2 linked regions of the Saccharomyces cerevisiae S288C genome follow. The protein of the gene in region 1 binds, or shares a complex with, the protein of each later gene. Each region holds a gene or a part of one and is shown in the gene's direction. Other genes may lie near its edges.

The links. Proteins that work in one complex are often made in the same cells at the same time.
Region 2: RPS12 (region 1) and RPS27B share a complex: the UniProt entries of both Saccharomyces cerevisiae proteins name them as parts of the small ribosomal subunit.

The regions. Positions count from the first base shown.
Region 1 is NC_001147.6:1,026,337-1,030,737, reverse strand, and holds RPS12 (40S ribosomal protein eS12 RPS12), read left to right. Parts: upstream 1-2,112; coding exon 2,113-2,544; downstream 2,545-4,401. Other genes in the region: GTPase-activating protein MRS6, read left to right, coding at 1-1,555; RAD17 (Rad17p), read right to left, coding at 2,690-3,895; SCP1 (Scp1p), read right to left, coding at 4,129-4,401. UniProt on the Saccharomyces cerevisiae protein: Component of the ribosome, a large ribonucleoprotein complex responsible for the synthesis of proteins in the cell.
Region 2 is NC_001140.6:146,569-150,285, reverse strand, and holds RPS27B (40S ribosomal protein eS27 RPS27B), read left to right. Parts: upstream 1-1,616; coding exon 1,617-1,619; intron 1,620-2,169; coding exon 2,170-2,415; downstream 2,416-3,717. Other genes in the region: YHR022C (uncharacterized protein), read left to right, coding at 1-711; ECM12 (Ecm12p), read right to left, coding at 606-1,061. UniProt on the Saccharomyces cerevisiae protein: Component of the ribosome, a large ribonucleoprotein complex responsible for the synthesis of proteins in the cell.

The DNA.
Region 1 (4,401 bases):
CACACTAACTGTAGACCAAATCAAAAGATGGGTAAATGAAGTTAATGAAGGCTCAGTAAGTTGCTATAAAAATGCGAAGTTGTATGTATCCACGCTAATCGGTAGTGGTAAATATTCTTCAAGAGATTTCGGTATTGATCTTTCCCCGAAGATCCTATTTGCAAAATCTGATTTATTATCCATCTTAATCAAATCAAGAGTTCACCAGTATTTAGAATTCCAATCTTTATCTAATTTCCATACTTATGAAAATGATTGTTTCGAAAAACTAACAAATACAAAGCAAGAAATATTCACGGATCAAAACCTACCACTAATGACAAAGAGGAACTTAATGAAATTTATCAAATTCGTACTCAACTGGGAAGCACAAACGGAAATATGGCAACCCTACGCGGAGAGGACCATGTCTGATTTTTTAGGGGAAAAGTTTAAATTAGAAAAACCACAAGTCTTCGAATTAATCTTCTCAATTGGGTTATGTTATGATCTCAACGTAAAAGTACCAGAAGCTTTACAAAGGATTCGTCGATATCTAACTAGTTTCGATGTTTATGGACCATTCCCTGCACTATGCTCCAAGTATGGTGGGCCAGGAGAATTGTCGCAAGGGTTTTGTAGATCTGCCGCTGTAGGTGGCGCTACTTACAAACTCAATGAGAAATTGGTATCCTTCAACCCTACAACTAAAGTGGCCACATTCCAAGATGGATCCAAAGTTGAAGTTTCAGAGAAAGTGATAATATCGCCTACGCAAGCACCTAAAGACAGTAAGCATGTCCCTCAACAACAGTACCAGGTTCATCGTTTGACCTGTATAGTTGAAAACCCCTGTACTGAATGGTTCAATGAGGGTGAATCGGCCGCCATGGTAGTCTTCCCTCCTGGCTCTTTGAAATCTGGTAATAAGGAAGTAGTACAAGCCTTTATTCTCGGTGCTGGCAGCGAAATTTGTCCAGAAGGAACTATTGTATGGTATTTATCGACCACAGAACAAGGCCCACGTGCTGAAATGGACATTGATGCCGCTCTAGAAGCTATGGAAATGGCCCTGCTAAGGGAATCGTCTTCAGGTTTAGAGAACGACGAAGAAATTGTTCAACTAACGGGAAATGGTCATACAATAGTAAATTCAGTTAAGTTAGGCCAATCTTTTAAGGAGTATGTTCCTAGGGAAAGATTACAGTTCTTATTTAAACTTTATTATACCCAATACACATCCACGCCACCCTTTGGTGTAGTTAACTCCTCCTTCTTTGATGTAAATCAAGATTTGGAAAAAAAGTATATTCCCGGTGCGAGTGATAATGGCGTCATATATACAACCATGCCTTCTGCTGAGATATCGTATGATGAAGTAGTCACCGCAGCCAAAGTTTTATACGAAAAGATAGTTGGCAGTGATGATGACTTCTTCGATTTAGATTTTGAAGATGAGGATGAAATACAGGCTAGCGGCGTTGCTAATGCGGAACAATTTGAAAATGCCATAGACGATGACGACGATGTCAATATGGAAGGTTCCGGTGAATTTGTAGGTGAAATGGAGATATGACGAGCAAGACATATTCTATTTAGTATTTTTTTCCCTTCAGGAAACGGTGATTAATGTCTTCTTACAAGTTAATGAATAGTATATATATGTAAAAAAAAATTCTGCTTCATGTATATACGCACCTCGTTATTGAGGTATTGCGAATGTAGCAGTTGAATAAGCAAAGACGAGGTTTGTACATCTTGGCATATTAAATGGTTATTTCGGGGTTTGTTTCGGCTCAACGGTGATATAAAAAGAAATCCAGTACTGTTTACCATTGTGCATCCGTACATTTGATTTGTTTACAACATCTTCACATTTCCATTGTGGAATCATTTTATTTTTTTCAGAATACCTTACCCGCAAGCAAACTTTCAAGCAAACTTACAATTTGCAAAATTTCATCGAATTCTCCGCAGGACATATTATAAAAGTTATGTCATCTCTTATCACAACAGGTCTATAAGTGTTCCTTGTTCAATTGTTTTTCCCAATTCAAAACTCTTCACGGAGCAGTTTAATTATCTTACTGTCGAAGAAGTCAAAAACTAGACTATATATTATTGAGAAGAAAAATGTCTGACGTTGAAGAAGTCGTTGAAGTTCAAGAAGAAACTGTTGTTGAACAAACTGCCGAAGTTACTATCGAAGATGCTTTGAAGGTTGTTTTGAGAACCGCTTTGGTTCACGATGGTCTAGCTAGAGGTTTGAGAGAATCTACCAAGGCTTTAACCAGAGGTGAAGCTTTATTGGTTGTTTTGGTCAGCTCTGTTACTGAAGCTAACATTATCAAGTTGGTTGAAGGTTTGGCTAACGACCCAGAAAACAAGGTTCCATTGATCAAGGTTGCTGATGCTAAGCAATTAGGTGAATGGGCTGGTTTGGGTAAGATCGACCGTGAAGGTAACGCCAGAAAGGTTGTCGGTGCCTCCGTTGTTGTTGTCAAGAACTGGGGTGCTGAAACTGATGAATTGTCCATGATCATGGAACACTTCTCCCAACAATAAACGGTGTGATGTTCATTAGTACTTTTTCTAGAGTTAGATCACATAATAATATATAGTTAAACTTTTATTTAATTGTAAGTTATATGTTATAAAATTACCAAATGCTGAATGAAGTTCTGCGTTTTCTGCGATGCTGGATATTGACTTAAAAAAATATAGGAATATCCTTTGTTGGATACTTGCAGTGATTCTCTTCATCCTCACTTTCCCTGTTTTTATTGTTTTCTTCTTCAGATGGTAGTTTAATTTTTTTCCCATTCAATTGCAGCAAGTTGTCATTTGAAGTTTCATTGCCTTTATCTGTACCATATCTTTTTCTTATAGTTGATTTTTTAAAACTATTACGATTGCCAAGTTCATTAGTCTCCATCAGGAGTTCTATTTCTGTCTGTGCTGCCTCATCTATGGATTCTTTTTCTAGCATGCAAACCTCAATTACTATACCGGGATAATCCTTGGGTAGCTGCAGTTGGCGAATACTACCTGGTCGATTATTTGAAGGTCTTGTAGTATCAGTGATAATGACATCGTCTGTTTGACTTAGAATATTTACACTCAATACGCCATGAACATCCATCCTGAAAAGGACTTTGCTTGCAATTTTAGTACTCTTTCTGATTTTATCAAACGAGGTGAAATCGAAGAACCCAATTACAGCAAAACCATCTATTACTGTTGTGGAATCTCCGTCAAATACTTGTAACTTCTCTAGTATGGATCTGTTACTGGGTAATTTTATTTTAGAAAATCCTAGCTGAGATTTAGATATCAGGGCAAATACATTCTCATCATTCGCCTCGGTCTTTGCATATACATAGCACTCTTTGCATCCGATTTCTTTTAGATCCTTTAAGGCTGAATGAAGGGCTTCGCCCTTAATAATTGCCTCAAAGCTTATCCTTTCTCTATCGAGTTCTAGTCCATTAGTATCAAAATCCTTAATTAAGTAGGTAGAGTACTCCACTCTCTCAGAAATGAACGAGTCTTCAAATATTAGTACAAATGGTGATCCATGTCCATCATAAGATAAAGTACACTCAACAATGTCATCCGAATTCCTGTTCATCACGCTAACGCTATCTAAGATATGATTTATTTTTACACAAAGTTTCATGTGATCCTCAGTTTCATTTCTATACGAATAAGACATAAATAGCTCCCGAGATAACAGTAGTTGGATTTTTATCACATGATTATTCTCCCTGACAAATGACAGCCCATCAGCATCAATGAATATAAGCACATCGTCTTTAGAACCAAAAGGTGTTAAACAACTTAAAGCAGTTGTGATATGTTCTAAGTGCACCGTTGAGGCAGAAAACTTGTTCGCTAGCTCACTGTTGATTCGCATAGTTGAAATCCTTCAACTACTTTGTTTCCACACCGTTCTGTGAGATTGATTTGTATAATCACATTTTTACCGGTAACGTTAACTTTTGTTACGCGTCTCTAGCCACCTTAGTGTTTATGTAGGAAAACTTTGATGGAAAACTAAAATATATCAAAGGAACTTTGGTTGCGTATATAGGGTTCTTAAATGTTTATTTATCAATTTCTGCCAGAGAAAGTGTTAATAATAATTCTCTAAACTATATCTCTCCGTTGTCCTAACACCACTCCTTCAGTAGCCTGAGATGCACCTTTCATATAACCGTATTCAAAAGTGCTCCATCCAGTACCATCTTGTAGATGTTTTGGTTTAGACTTAACCGGGGGTCTTGGCTTCTTTGTTGACAGTTGTGGTCCTAGAACTGGAAATCTATCTGTATGTTTTTTGTTGGCGTAACGAGATAGTGACTTCAACGTTTGGAAAACAATGGCAGGATCCTTTTTCTCAAAAAGATCAATTGTCTGAAA
Region 2 (3,717 bases), on another chromosome or scaffold:
AAATCTTCGAAGATTACTGTAATGGGGGATGATCATTCTGGAAAAACTTCTCTGGTTCGCAGTTGGCTAGGTAGTTCATTTCAAATATCAGATGCTAATCGTTATAGGGTTTCGGACCTCTACCACAAGACAATCCAATTTGATACTTTGGTAAAATACTATCGTACCTTTGGCGTAAAAGGACAGTTGCCGAATTATGCGGGTTTCAAAGCTAAAAACTCTGGCACAATTTATGAAAGTTGTGGCAATTTCCTAGAAGAGCGCCTGATCAATGCCAATAAATCGACTGCTCAAAGACGCACCAGTATTGATGTTCAAGTTTTTGATACCAATCAAATGGAGGTTTCGTACCTTTCGGAGCTAACTACTCTTCAAATTAGGCAGTCTGATGCAATTATATTATGTTTCGATTCTACTAATGACAGCTCTCTTGCCAGCTTAGAGTCTTATATTTGTATTATTCACCACGTACGTTTGGAATGTGAATTGGATATTCCAATTATTATAGCGTGTACGAAATGTGATCTTGATTCGGAAAGAACAATTACTCATGAAAAGGTTTTAACATTTATCCAAGAGCTGGGTTTCTCGCCAGGCAATTTAGACTATTTTGAGACATCCTCCAAGTTCAATGTAAATGTTGAAGATTTGTTCTTGGCAGTATTATTGAAAATTGAAAAATCTAAAAGTGATCGCAGGAAACTTTTGTAAGGGTTTATAATCAAGATGTATCCGCTGGAGAATTCGCCTCTCTTACGTGACAAAGAGAAGACCTGTGTTATTGAAACTGGAGGAGGAGGTAATACAAGCTTCGAAAGCCATTCAGTAACAACTACTCTAGATGAACCAAAAAAACCTACAACAAAAAAGGGTGAACAAACGCCAACGAAAACGTGCTTGGCTAAAAACGCTACCACTCGAAGGTCAAATGAAAGTCCGTCGAATGATGAAAAGAAAAAAATAAAAAAAGGCATAATAGCCTGCTGCTTAATGTGAAAATAAAAAACAAGAAGAACATGTATATATATGTACTTTATTAGAAAGTGAAAAGATCTGTTCATTGTGACAGCTATCTACTTATTATCTATTTTATAAATCCCATAAATTCTTTCCATATTACTTACGTCTATTATAACCTTCCGCGTAAAAAAGAAATATTGACATCCTTTCTTGTATTTAGCCCATACATTTTCACCCATGCACCATTGGATTATAAAGAAAAAAATTTAATAAAAATCTGCCGGGGAAATTTCAGAAGAAAAAAGGAAGGTGTGTTCGCATTTAACACGGGCCACCATAAACTTTTGTTTGCCACCCATCTAGACGGGATCCGCCCCGCCCAAGGCTCTCTTCCTCTAGCTAGGCAATGTGGCTCTCGGAAAGGAAACTCCCACCAGGACGTGGTGGGAAATGCAGCAATTCCCCTCTGCTTCCCGCTGACCTTTCTTGGGCCCAGTTTAGTAAGTATGCTCTCATCTTTCATGTGTGCTGTAACTTGCAAGTCATTAACACTATCTATAATTGATATTAGACGTTAAAAGTTCTATATAGCATTTGCTTTTATTTAGAGAATACGAAAACACACCAGATAATTAGTGCATATATATTAGATCAATATGGTATGTGAAAGAGATATTAAACATAAGATGTGAAGGAAACAGAAGAGAACAATATTTGAGGAATGAATTCGGATGAAATTCTAGTAGAAGAAAAAAGCCTAAAATAAAAAGAAAGAAAGGAAAATAAAGCAGTAATCAACCTCTGACATTTGATAGGAGTATGCGTTTCCGCAAAATCAACAAATCATGCATTAAACTGGTAACGGAGACTTTAAAGACGTGCAAAGAAAGCAATTAATTTTTAGATAGGGAATTGAAAGGCTCTGTATAGCAGAAAATTTGAGATCTACTGTGGAGATAAGCATATGGTGTTGAGTTATGGGTAATCTAACAATAATAGAAACTTATAGCAGTTGAAGATGGCGGATCATGATGCCGGATACTGCTGGGTAATGATTTATCCTTCTTTTTTTGGAGCACAAATGCTCACTTTTTCCTGTCTCCTCTAACTTTTCTGATGTATCCTACCCAACCCTACAGTTTTCAAATTACTAACATCAATTTTTTTGTGAAACGACTTTCGTTTTCGTTTCTATTTATTTCATTACAGGTTTTAGTTCAAGATTTGTTGCACCCAACTGCTGCTTCTGAAGCCAGAAAGCACAAGTTAAAGACTTTGGTTCAAGGCCCAAGATCCTACTTCTTGGATGTCAAATGCCCAGGTTGTTTGAACATCACCACTGTTTTTTCTCATGCTCAAACTGCTGTCACTTGTGAATCATGCTCTACTGTCTTATGTACTCCAACCGGTGGTAAGGCCAAATTATCTGAAGGTACTTCTTTCAGAAGAAAGTAAGTTAATTTATTTTTTTGTGTAGTTAAAATCATCTTCTTTTATCTAAATATATAAATATAAATTTACTTTTAATCAATTAAATTAACCTTTTAGAATCGGAAAGGATACGCTAAGGAGGCGATGTTGAAGTAGGTCGGCAGGTTCATTATATATTTAAATAATGAATTTTCCAATGATGTTTAAAAGGAGAGGAACATTCTTGACATTGTTAATCTTATGATCAAAGGCACAATCCGTAGGAGAGGAGGTTTTGTCATTTGAATTGTATCGTACAGTAAGTTTCTCTAGTATTCTTAGTAATGACCATAAAAGTGCAGATATAGTCCTCGACCCTGTAGCCACAGTTAGCTGCTGTGGTGTTAAACAAAGGCATTTCATCCGAGCGTAACCTCTTTGTAGGAGTTAAATGGAGTATCGTGATAGAGCCCAATACTATATCCACAATAGTGATAATGATAGTAACATTTGATACATCGAATACCCTAATAGTAATACCAGTCACATTTGGTTAGAAATCGCTGGTAACATTACTGATACCATTTTTTGGTATTAAAATCTATACTGTAAGTGCCAGAAGCATAAATGATGCACCTGGAATTACATGTATACATGTTATTGCAATGGTCATTATACCGGGCATAAATGTCACTGGAAATAGTGAAAGCTGCTGTTAGGAATAAGGTTTTAAAATAACTCAATAACCGAACCAGAATTTTCTTATTTTTTTCACTAAGGATAATTGTTTCTGTCTGAAATTATATAAAACACATGCGGATTAGTTCACCTTAAATACCACCAATACAATAGAAGATTGGGTAGTCACGATATATTTAATGTGACACCCATTTTACTCATATATATGACTTGCACTCTAATGTTCAACTAATAGGGCCTTACCTCAACTGAACTATTGTCTCCCTTGCCAGAACAACATTTCTGTCTTCTGCAAAAGGCACACCCATGCAAAAACATATACGAAATGAACATAAATATACGGTGTGCGTATTCACATTGTTAGCATAGCAACAAACGGTGTATTAATTGCAACGATATTAATCTTATAAAAAATTTTTAAAGTGTCGAATATTAATGATTATTAGTTCCAACAATAATAAAGTCAAAAAGCTAGTTACCTTCCTTCCAATATTTAATTTTGATCAACCTTATGGTATTCCTTATTTCTTTAATACCACTCATTCTGTTGTATCTCAAAATGAGATACGTCAGTATGACAATACGTCATCCTAAACGTTCATAAAACACATATGAAACAACCTTATAACAAAACGAACAACATGAGAC